2 linked regions of the Drosophila melanogaster genome follow. The protein of the gene in region 1 purifies or fractionates together with the protein of each later gene. This does not show direct contact. Each region holds a gene or a part of one and is shown in the gene's direction. Other genes may lie near its edges. The genes, in order: Cdk9 and CG17601.

Evidence for each region.
Region 2: the proteins of Cdk9 (region 1) and CG17601 purify together in Drosophila melanogaster (affinity purification with mass spectrometry, with the first as the bait; one large-scale study listed by BioGRID). This does not show direct contact.

Annotation. Positions count from the first base shown.
Region 1 is NT_033778.4:22,634,680-22,641,416, reverse strand, and holds Cdk9 (Cyclin-dependent kinase 9), read left to right. Parts: upstream 1-3,689; 5' UTR 3,690-3,826; coding exon 3,827-4,011; intron 4,012-4,073; coding exon 4,074-4,158; intron 4,159-4,217; coding exon 4,218-4,475; intron 4,476-4,543; coding exon 4,544-5,230; 3' UTR 5,231-5,354; downstream 5,355-6,737. Other genes in the region: RpS24 (ribosomal protein S24), read left to right, coding at 322-717; CG3732 (uncharacterized protein), read left to right, coding at 1,398-1,486, 1,564-1,880, 1,937-2,379; bonsai, read right to left, coding at 2,604-3,106, 3,166-3,299, 3,359-3,564; CG17807 (uncharacterized protein), read left to right, coding at 5,493-6,737.
Region 2 is NC_004354.4:22,544,332-22,550,437, forward strand, and holds CG17601 (uncharacterized protein), read left to right. Parts: upstream 1-2,765; 5' UTR 2,766-2,798; coding exon 2,799-3,461; 3' UTR 3,462-3,725; downstream 3,726-6,106.

The DNA of each region.
Region 1 (6,737 bases):
TCCTTTCTAATAAATCGCGTTCGCAAAACGACGTGTTTAAAACCTTTTCAAGTGTTTTAAAAGGTAAATTACTCTCAGAACTGCCTAAAAATGCAGGCAAAGACCGCCACCAAAATGCTTATAGCTCCGTGATTGAGGGCAGTGTCCGTGGACGGCGAATGAGCGCAGAAACATGTCACACGTGGAGACATGGAGCACCCACTGCCAGTGAGGTTATGTTGTGTCGCTCAAAAGCGACAAAAACAATCCGGACTGGCGAGCATTTTGTTTGAATGAAAGGCCCAAGCTAAACCTCTACCATCCTTTTGCAGCTCCGTCAAAATGTCCGGTACAACCGCTACCATCCGCACCCGCAAGTTCATGACCAACCGCCTGCTCGCCAGGAAACAGATGGTCTGCGATGTCCTCCACCCAGGATTGTCGTCGGTGAACAAGACCGAGATCCGCGAGAAGCTCGCCGCCATGTACAAGGTCACCCCCGATGTGGTCTTCGCCTTCGGATTCCGCACCAACTTCGGTGGCGGCCGCTCCACCGGCTTTGCCCTCATCTACGACACCCTGGACTTCGCCAAGAAGTTCGAGCCCAAGTACCGCCTGGCCCGTCACGGCCTCTTCGAACAGAAGAAGCAGACCCGCAAGCAGCGCAAGGAGCGTCGCAACAGGATGAAGAAGGTGCGCGGTACTGCCAAGGCCAAGATCGGCACTGGCAAGAAGTAAGCCTGATGGAGGAAAGCTCGTCTGCGGGCATCGCCTGCTATTCCCAAAAGCTGCTGGTTATGCGTTAGTCAAACTTCTTTACCAACCAATCAACAACCGACAAAACAAAATCAGTGTTTACTTTTGGAGCGGCTTTTGTTTGTAAACTAAGGAAATAAAACTCTAAAAGTATACAAGTTCTTGTGGTTCATTGTCTGGGAAAGGCGCGAGTGCAATAGTTGTTTAATTGAAGTGTTTCTGGACCAATTTTATATGCAAAACTATTTGAAGAGTGGCGATAATCACAGATTGTTGTCAATAACTTTTGTTGATCTCTTGTACTCCTTTGGTGGCCTATTTTTACAAGGAAAATGTTTACAGCTTAGAAACCTGCGATTTATCGCAAATAAGTTGAAAGCTGGAAATCCTACCTACCCAAATATTTTCAATTGAATTGCAATTAAATTCCAAAATAAGTTTTGGAGTACCCCAAATACAATTTGAATGACCTATCGATTGTTGCATCGGAAGCCAGACTATCGATAACGGTATCGATGTTTTGACCACTTTATTTCGTACCGTATACAGAATATAATATTGGTAAAAAAAATCTGTTAAATGCTGCTCCTGAGGCCTAAGGAGGATCACTTGGACGCCCGTTAGCATTATCCTTTGGCAGAGGACGCAGCCAAGGCACAGACATGTCCAGTTCAAATGGAGGCGTGGCATCAGGGGCCGCGGGAAGCAGCGGCGTCGCTTCGCCTGGCGATTGGATTTGCCCAGATTACGAGTGAGTGCCCGTAAAGATGCAGTGATAGCGGCCAAGTGAGAAGTCCTGCGAGTCTCACACTTCCCTCGATTTTGCAGCTGTCGCCATCTGAACTTCGCCCGCCGTTTGCAGTGCAACAAATGCGACCGGGACCGCGATGGCAGTGATAAGCCGGAGCGCGACAGGGATCGAGACCGGGAGCGGGAACGCGGCAACGGGAGCAGCAGCAGTAGCAGCAGCTCAAGCAAGAAAAAGCTGGGCACCGAGATCGGCAAGGCGGCGGCCGACAAGTCGCGGGGCTTGTTCAGCGCCGAGGACTGGCAGTGCAGCAAATGCGCGAATGTGAACTGGGCCCGTCGCCAAACCTGCAATATGTGCAACGCTCCTAAGTTCTCGGATGTGGAGGAGCGGACTGGTGAGTCCGTAGAAGCCTGATCTGCTTCAAAACCCACTTAACCAGTTTCTTTAAAGGCTTTGGCGGTGGATACAATGATCGCGGCGTGGTAGAGTACAAGGATCGTCAGGATTCGGATAGCGAGTACGATGAGTTCGGTCGTCGCAAGAAGCGAAAGCACGGCGAGCATAGAGAGGACTCAAAGAGGCCCAGAAGGTCTAGCCGAGATGAGCAGCGGAATGATGAGGAAGAAGATGAGGACGACGACGAGGGAGACGACGAGGATCTATCAAAGTACGATCTCTGGGGCGACGAAGAAGTCACTTCCACGGATGTCAAGAGCAAAGAGGGCACTGGCAATGGCGACAAGGAGCGCAAGCGTACCTCACGCGACTCTACCTCTTCCGTGTCCTCCTCGTCGTCGTCCAGTTCGTCCAGCTCCAGCGACTCTTCGTCGAGCAGCTCGAGTAGCTCCAGCAGCGGCGGCAGGCGGAAAACCTCCTCGTCGGGCAGACGTTAGCTGCAACCGTACCCTTTAGGAACTTCTCTTTAATTGCGTCTGTTTTTACACATTTTTCTAAGGCAATCATGCTTGCCTTCTTATTTATTTGCCAGTATGCGCTCAGATGATCATGACATAGGGTACGATGTCCAGCCTAACTCTTAAAGTATAATAAAACATATAATTTAAGAAAACCAGCATTTACATTTATTGTAAGACACCGTAACATTAAAGAATCGGGCCTAATTGAAGCCATCCTCGTTTTGTTTCTTGCTGCTGGCGGCTGCCTCCGCCTGCTGCAGCTCCTTCAGCATTTCCAGCTGCCTTTTTGAGTCGGCGATCTTCTCTTCTGTCACGGTCACGGGGACATCGCAGGAAATCTGTTCCTGCCGCACGAACTGCATCTTCTTGATGGCCTCCTCAAGGAAGGGTATTTGCTGGGCCTGCAGCTGCTTATGGTAAGCCTCTAGCCGCTCTTCCTTTAGGTTTTCGCAGTATATGTCGGTCAACTTTTGGAGGGATTCCTTGCGGGTGATCCAGTGGAAATGTGTGGGCGGTGGCTTGTACACCAGGTCGAGTTTCTCGAGAATCCACTCGAAGCGGGGATAATCCCAACGTCTCAAGTACTTGAGGAACTTCTTGCGTTTGTCGATGAGCTCCTTGAGACGCACCTTGATCATCTTGTCGCGCGGATGCTTGTCCATGTGCTCCTGGTAGCGGCGGATAACTGCAGTCATTTTTGCCACTAAAAGAAGGGCAAATTTGGGGGGAACTGCTATATGTGCACTTTGCAAAGATACATACATTTGGCCTCCATTGAGCCGAAATCCTGGGCATGTCTTTGCACCTCCTTGACCATCTCATCGCGATAGAATTTTGTGGTCAGGTAACTAGCGTTGTTGCTCAGTTTGAACAAGGATTTAACTGACTCGTCGGCTCTACAAAATGGTGAGATGATGTAAATAAACTATTATATTGAGAGAATACTGCAACATACTTATCCAACTCCTTGCAGTCCCTGTATTCCGGCAGCAGTTCGTCGGCTTTCAGAGGAGGCAGCTTGGCTAAATCGCCGCTCTTTTCGGGCTTATAGCACGCGATCTTCTCGGGGCGCATCCATTTGATTTTCAGGTCCGACTTGAATGCATATTCCCGGACAAACTGCCGATGCCCTGCCTGGGCTATATTCAACAGTTTATTCATTAATTCGGCTTTTATTTGTTGGACAAATTTTGGCTAGGTTATATCACTTGGCCAGTGTATACCAACAATCGAAAAGTTATTACTACCCAGCTGTTTGACCCATCGATTTCTTATCGATAGGCCTTGACAGTGTGTGCACACCGGTATTTCTTTAGTCAACAGCTGTAGAAACACCAATTGTTGCCGATTTCTTTCTTTTCGACTGTCGGCTTCTCGCGAAACTGTGATTGTGAAAATTGTACAAATAGAGGCAAATTTAACCATGGCGCACATGTCCCACATGCTCCAGCAGCCTTCGGGGTCGACGCCCTCCAACGTGGGCTCCAGCTCATCGCGCACGATGTCCCTGATGGAGAAACAAAAGTACATCGAGGACTACGACTTTCCCTACTGCGACGAGAGCAACAAATACGAAAAGGTGGCGAAAATTGGCCAAGGCACCTTCGGGTAAGTCTCCAAATTGGTGAAAACTAACTTTAAACTAAAACATACGACCCCTTTGATTACAGAGAGGTTTTTAAGGCTCGCGAGAAAAAGGGCAACAAGAAGTTTGTGGCCATGAAGAAGGTGCTGATGGACAACGAAAAGGAGGGCGTGCGTGAAAAGCAACATCTTAAGAGACGAATTCCTTATTTATATATGTGCTCCCCTAGTTTCCCATCACGGCTCTGCGAGAGATCCGCATCCTGCAGCTGCTAAAGCACGAGAACGTGGTGAATCTGATCGAGATCTGCCGCACCAAGGCCACCGCCACGAATGGTTACAGATCCACCTTCTATTTGGTCTTTGATTTCTGCGAACACGATTTGGCAGGTCTTCTGTCCAACATGAACGTCAAGTTCAGTCTGGGCGAGATTAAGAAGGTTATGCAGCAGCTTTTAAACGGTTTGTATTACATCCACAGCAACAAGGTGAGTCATGTCATTAAGCAAAGTTTTGGTTTTACATTGTATGTATCTGTTTTCATTTGCATTACTAGATCCTGCACCGAGACATGAAAGCTGCCAACGTGCTGATTACCAAGCATGGCATCTTAAAGCTGGCTGACTTTGGCTTGGCCCGTGCTTTTAGCATTCCAAAGAACGAGAGTAAGAATCGCTATACCAATCGCGTAGTAACCTTGTGGTACCGGCCGCCTGAGCTGCTACTTGGTGACCGCAACTATGGTCCACCCGTGGACATGTGGGGAGCCGGCTGCATAATGGCCGAGATGTGGACACGCTCGCCCATCATGCAAGGCAATACGGAGCAGCAGCAGCTAACCTTTATCTCGCAGCTATGCGGCTCCTTTACGCCGGACGTGTGGCCGGGAGTGGAGGAGCTGGAGCTGTACAAATCCATCGAGCTGCCAAAGAACCAGAAGCGTCGAGTCAAGGAGCGCCTGCGTCCGTATGTCAAGGATCAAACCGGCTGTGATCTATTGGACAAATTGCTGACCCTTGATCCCAAGAAACGCATCGATGCGGACACAGCTCTGAATCACGACTTCTTCTGGACGGATCCCATGCCCAGCGACTTGAGCAAGATGCTGTCCCAGCACCTGCAGAGCATGTTCGAGTACCTGGCGCAGCCACGCCGCAGCAACCAGATGCGCAACTATCACCAGCAACTGACCACCATGAACCAGAAGCCCCAGGACAACAGTATGATTGACCGGGTTTGGTAGACTGCCAGAGGTGTACGCACCCGACTAATAGTTTCTCACCTTCAACTAGCGTTAGGTTATTAGGTTAGTGTACAATAAAAATATTGGCATTTGCATTAGCGCTTGCTCCAAATATACCTACATTATGTTTCTCTGCTTCTTATTATTCTTTATTCAAAGTTTCTACAATTACTTGAAGTTGCAAGAAAGGGTATTCACAATCGACTTAAGTATTAGAACAAAAAGAAAAACATTGAAAAGGGGTGTACACACTGGCCGCGAGATGCACGTTGAGGAAACACAGCAAAAGGTAAACAAGGCCAAAAAGGCGGATAAAAAGCAGCGAAGATGTCTGGCAATCATCAAAAGTGACTGCGAGGTGTCTCCAAGCGCTGAACCCACCCCTTACCTGGCGGTTCTCAACGTGGGACTCAGCAATGGACTCACGGAGGAGTGTTTGCTCACGGAGGCTGCCGCGACCGGTGGAAAAGTCATCCAAGTGGTCATGTTGCCGGGCAAATCGTACTGTTTTTTTATTTGTGCCAGCTTGGAAGACTCCCAGCTCATCTATGAGGGAATGCACAATATATCGACCATTGGACAACAGGGAGCTGTAGCCTACCTTAGCTATATAAGGCAACTACCGGCACTTGCGGGAAAAAGTGAGTGGAACAAGCCTCTTCCCAGAGGCCTTCACATAATTGCTGACTTTGTCACCGAAGAGGAGGAGTCAACGCTGTTGAGGGCCATTGGCGAGGATGGCAGAACCTCCGAAGTCACGGGATCTCTAAAGCATCGAAACGTCAAGCACTTCGGCTTTGAGTTTCTTTACGGCACCAATAATGTGGATCCCTCGAAGCCTCTGGAACAGTCGATACCATCAGCATGTGATATTCTATGGCCACGACTAAATAGCTTCGCTTCCACCTGGGACTGGAGTTCTCCTGACCAGCTGACAGTGAATGAATACGAACCCGGTCATGGAATTCCCCCGCATGTGGACACACATAGTGCTTTCTTGGATCCCATTCTTTCGCTGTCCCTGCAATCCGACGTGGTAATGGACTTCCGCCGAGGAGATGACCAGGTTCAAGTCAGACTTCCGCGCCGATCCTTGCTAATAATGTCGGGTGAAGCTCGATACGATTGGACGCATGGCATCAGACCGAAGCACATTGATGTGGTACCCAGTGCATCTGGCGGTTTGACCACTCAAGCCCGCGGCAAGAGAACTTCTTTGACTTTTCGACGCCTGCGAAAAGGTCCCTGCGACTGTTCATACCCCGCGCTTTGCGACACACAGCAAACCAAGGTACCACAGGAGTTGCACGCATCGCTAGCTGCTCAGGCCATCACTCTGGAGCAACAGAACGTCCACGAGGTGTACGATAAGATTGCGGATCACTTCAGCGAAACGCGGCACACGCCTTGGCCACAAGTATCTGAATTTCTGGACTCCTTTGAGCCCCAATCTGTGGTGCTGGACATTGGTTGCGGCAATGGCAAGTATCTAAGCTGCAACCCGCTG
Region 2 (6,106 bases), on another chromosome or scaffold:
TTTGTTTGGGCCACCGAATCCCAAATTGATGGTTGCTAGGTAACGGAAAATGCATAGCGAGAAAATATGATAACGAACTCTAAACATTGATCCATTTCTAAAATATATTATTAATATTAAACTAAGATTATTGTCAACAACAATGTTGGTAATTTTAAACGGAATTTTAATAAGAAAATATTACATAAAATAGGAATTAAGATATATGTACTAAATTTCTCAAAAACAGCAATACATGAAACTGAAAATAAAAGCGAAATAAAATTAATTTTAACTTAAATAGGTTTTAGTTTTTTTATTTTAATACTTAAACAAATACAGGTTACTATCACTTGCCATATGAAATTTCTCGCAGTGTCCCCCTGCTATCCTTGGCTAATATTCATTCGATTGCTGTGGACGGTCGCACGGGGTTCACCTGGGAAACGGTTGCGCGGTTTCCATTCCATTAAAAATGTAGGAGTTGCTAAGAACGAATTATTGAAATACGATAATTGGGATTTTTACAAATTAAGCATACCCGACAGAGGGCGCCACTATCTCAACTGAAATTGACCTGTTGGGCACATAAATTTCAGTTTTTCTATATATCCTTTATTGTTCTTGTAATTTACTTATCATTGCACAGATTCAACACTCTGTTGGGTTATCGATGGTGTGATATTTTGGGAAGTTTGCGGGCGTTATAGTGGGCAAGACGACGTTCTGAAACACACTAGAGCTGTGTGTGTGTCACATTAGCTTTTACAGTGTATATACATATATACATATGTACATATATAGCTTATAGTTAATATTGATCGACAGATGGAAGATTCCGCTTGTGATCCTCATCAAGAATTTATATTTTCTAATTTTTTAGTTTTTATACAATTAATGGATATGAAAACCAAATAAAACTCTATTTATTTAAAAAGTCGAATGAACCCTGTTTCAATCATACAAGCGCACATTCAAAATGCCTAAAAGCGGCACTAAATTTGTTATATCCTTTTAGTAATATTCTTATGAAACAGGTAGAAGGAAGCGTTTCCGACCATATATTGTATATATATTCCTAATATACAATATATCCATGTTCGGCCGGACATCCGTATGAACGTCGAGATCTCAGAAATCTATCTATTTTTCAATAAAAGCTAGAAGGTAAAAGAAAGTTAAGAAGCATACAGATTCTAAAGACGTAGACGCAGTGCAGTTGCCCATGTTCCCAAGCCCAGTCTAACGCCCACAAACTGCCTAGAACTGTCACGCCCACACGTTTGCTAAATGTTTTAATACTTTTTCATATTATTATTAGTCTTTTAAATTGCCAATATTATATTATTTCCCAATATCTATCGATATCCGAGAAAAATTATGAAATTTCCCATTCGCATTTCCACTAGCTGAGTAACGATGAGTATCTAATAGTCGGGGAACTCGATTATATCATACACTCTTGTTTTGCTTAATATGGGGAATACGGATTTTACTAAGTAATAGTCTTGGTGCATAAGGAATAAATACATACCAAAACCAACCAACCACTAACGTGTATCTTCTGATAGTCGGAGAACTCATTCATAGCGTTCTCCCTTGTCTTGCTACGCATATTCTGATACTAGGGTATCAGATAGTTAAATAATTGAGGGGTTGTGCTCAAACTGTTTTTGTTTTTTGTATTTTATAGCGCACACAAATGTATTTTAAACCCGATCAGTAGCTGGAGGCCTTGTACTCAAAAATTGAGTAACATTATGAAATTACAATTGCTTTCACAAACTTCGCGTGCTTTGCTTATTGCGTGCATTTTCAAACTTTTTTTCTCTTCTATTCGCATCGATATCATACCGTTTAGTTATTGACTATCTCGTTATGGTTAAATTATTTCTGGACAAAAACCCGCTCGTTACACATACATATGTATCTATGGTGTGTGCAATAACATTTATTTGTATAAGAAACTAAAAAAATCAATGATTGATTGTAATAGTGTGAAGTCTAAGAGCTCTCAACAGGTGTTATTTATCTGTGAAATTGGCAGACAGCTTAATTTGTTAGATTTACAAGTTTTCTCGTTCATAAGCATGATCAGAAAATATATGAATGTAAATATATTTTCAGATCATGCTTATGATAGACTTATTAATCAATGATCAACCCAAATAAAATTCCTCAAATTAGGAGTTCAAATAAATAAATCTGGAGATCTCCTCAGCAACTACTGGAATACAATGCACGGCAAAAAGGTGATGGGAAAAGAGTATGTAAGGTTTTTTTTTAAATTATTATTTATTAAGTGAAGAATCCGTACATCATAATATTGTATCTTAACATCACAGGTATGTACAGAGTATGTAAGTAAAATAAGAGGTTTACATTTACCAACATGTTTAAATGTACTTAAGGATACCAAAACGAATTTTTAAAAAGGCTTTCTATTTGATTTTCATCGGTGCAAGTGTTGTACATACATATATGTATGTATGTATGTATCTGCTGATTGAAGCTCTACAATTTAGCGTTGGACAGTTAAGAGGGCTTCCCAGCCAATAGGAAGTTGAGTACATATATTTTTTCAAACTTCCGTTTTCATTGCGTTGAAAGGTTAGGCGTTAAGAAAAATATATATAAAATATTGATATAATTAACGAGTGATGTATTGAAAAAGTTCCTATCCGATTGGCCTTAGTAGGGTTTCCACCTTTCTTTTCCACTGACAGATTAAAAATATTAAAAGCAAACCCTATCAGGTTGTGACCTTACTTTTAACCTTATTTTCTCAGAGACGTTTGCATATAGTCATAACCACAGCTATGGCCCCAAGGAAACGGATCTCGAGGATTGCATCACGCAGTGTGGCGACTGTGGAGCAGTTCACTAAGCGCATCAACTGCCGCTCGGTTGGCACCCAAACCGATATCCTGGCTAAGGGTCCGGCGAAGCGCAAAAAGGTCGAGAACAAGGTCAAGCTGCTGGATTCGCAGCCACTGTCGTCCCAGTACTTGGCCATCCATCTGATGCCGGCAATCAATCCACTGGCAACTGAAACAATAAATCGGCGTCCGGATACATTCTCATATTTTCTCCCCGGTCCAAATGAGAAGTCTTGCCAGGCTGTGGCCGACCGAATCGCTGACGCAAGCGATCGGGTCATCACCGCTAGCTCCGGAGAACGGCAAATAAACCACCTGAAGTCTGTGGTGAGCAACCGCCGCGAAGAGGCCAACCAGTGGGATCGTAACCGTCTTGAAATTCTGCTGGCCCAGATCAATGGTGACCCGCCGCCGCGCTGGAACTCGGCCACCCAATTGTGGCTAGAGGTTGACATGCTGGAGAAGCGCATAGAGGCCTACGACCAAGAAGAACTGCAGAATGCCAAGAATCGCAATTTGGACAGGAAGCTAGACGGTGGGCAGGATAAGGGGCCGTCAGATGAAAAGGACCAGCAGACTTTGAAGACTTTGAAGGCAACGTAGCCTTTTCATATTTAATATTCAATGGCTAATAATGGTGGTCTATAAAGTCGAACTCGACTTGGATTTATACACATTGCATTCATTTGTACACACAAAAAATGGATTCGTTTAAATACTTAGACGATTCATTTTTTAATTATGACAACTGAATATGAATATGATATGATCAATATGATGAAATATTGATTTGCAATCATTGCCGTGGAAAATGGTAATCTTAAAGCAAATAAATCAGCAAAAATATGTGGATTTATGAATTACCGTAAAAATAGATTTATTATTTTAAGGACGCTTGTTGTAACCATTGATAATGATAATTTTTTTTAAACAACACATTTCTAGCGGCCTTCCACATTCGCTGTAAGTGCTTTTTGGTAGAATAGCCCGGTATGCCAGACCTTTTTTAAAGCAGCCGTCCCACGTTAGGCTTCATTCCGGGCAGTCATACGGTTCAGTCTGTGATTTTTAATTGCAAAACAAGTGGTGTGGATCGCTTGTTACCATATGAATGCCCCGAGTCGCGGCGATGACAGCCACTCACATGGGTCCTTGGTCCTGTGTGCCGTCTCCTTGGTCCTTGGCCTTCTCCTCAGTTGACAGCAAACCTAGCCACGCCCCAGGTCTCAGCCCACTCGTACCCACACACACCAACGCACCATCACACCAAACTAGTACACAAAACTAGCGCACTGATACTCACACCCATGGCACATCTTGTTGGGCTTAGGTTTGGGCTTGGGCTTTTGGCCATGCTTGAGTCTTTGTGCATATTTAGGTTGCGAAGGATGCCAAGGATGCAGTCGCTCCCCATGTCACTTGGCCTGCATTTGACGAATTTTCACGCGTCACGCTCAAAGGCTTCCTGCACGTCACAACCGCCAGTTTTGTCTGATTTTCCGGATGTTTATACGGCGCGCAGAGTATCTAAATTGGTTTTTTTTTTTTTTTTTTTTAATATATCATGAAATCTTAAGTAGGGACTCATATGCAACTGTAGTCCAACTTTGTATACTTCAATCCAAACTACAGGTTGTGCCAAACAGAGAGGAGGCTCAGTGAATCATACTTATTTTAAAGGGATGCTATACCTCATAAACTAATATATTGACATCATGAAACATCATTAAAGTAATAGTTTGTTCATATTTCTGCATAAACTTCACGTGAAAACAGGGGCTGATGTTCGTATTTGGGGACCTCCAAATTGGTACTGCCTGGTGTTTATTCAGGGGGCTGGGGTGGTCATATCAGCGTGGGCGTGGCTCGGGGGTTGGGTGATGGGAGGCGAACGAAGTCATCTTAGCTGGTTCTATTAACTCCATTGGCCCCGTCATTTGGGGGCCGGCGTCGGCTTGCATGTACTTATGTCAACATGTGCATATATTTGCATTGCCCCGGGCGACGCTCTGTCCGTCTGCGCTTCTCACGCCGAAGTACAGCCGAGTTGGACATTTATTAGCCATCTGTCTACCCTTCCAGGACTCCAATGTCGCCAGCAGCAATAAACATAGGAACATTGCGGAACGACTTTTCCTTTCTCTATTCCTCCAACAAAGGCTACCCGAGCTACCCGACTAATAAAGTTATTGCCCAAGTGCTGAATATTTTTATTTCACAATGAGATTCACAAACAGATGCCTTTTCAAGGAGTTCCAGAGCCGCCTAACCTGCTGATACGGCTGCAGTGGTGCTAGGCGGTAGACGCGGTCTATATGCTGCAACAGAGGAAACTAATCGGCAGCAGGCAAGCGATGAAATAAACTGAATTCCGCTTTTGCTAGTCGCTGATAGAAATGGCTTAGATTTGTATTTCATTTAAAATAAAATGTTAAATAGTTGACACAGCAGCAGCTGAGTGACAAAAAGAACAGCGGAAGAAAAAGGGCATCCAAATGTCTGGCATTGGGCTCGAAAACGTGGCTTTTATGGTCTTTCTCTTTGTTTATCTTTGTCAAAAACTAGATGTATAATGCTCGTTAAATTAGTTCAGCAATTGTATTTATTTAATTTTATATTTGTCATTTTTAATTTTTTGATACAAATAAATTGTATACATCTTAAGAAAAAGTTAGGAAAATATAATTTGACTTAATCTTGCCTCATCTTATTTTTGATTAAACTAAATTTCCACTTTAGCATTCTGTAATAATTCAAAATTATTTTATTAGGTATTTAGCGAATCTTTTTGTATTTCTTAGGGGTCACCACTGAGAGCTTATAGGCGTGGCAGACGAGCGTTCGGATGGCCAAGTTGGCCATTGCAAGTTGCAATGCGTTAAAGTTCCGTTGACGTTTCGCAGCCGGAGCCAATCTGAATCAGACTACAAACAGGCATTGTGGGGTCTCGGGTAGGTACGAGGATGTATATGCAGGTGGTTAAGGGGGGTGGCGGATGGGGGCAGTGGACGGGACATTGGCGAAACTTATGTATGTGCATACACTACCATGTGCAACTATAAACAGAAGGCAGATGAATGAAACCCGAGACACAAGCCTACAAGAAAGCACAACTGATTTAACATTTGGTTCACTGACTAAACGCTTAATTAAACTAAATTAATGTTAGGGCTGTGAACCACTCCGAACTCCGTTTTTTTTTGCAATCAAGTTAGGTTTAGAAAACACAGAATCAATTAATCACACAA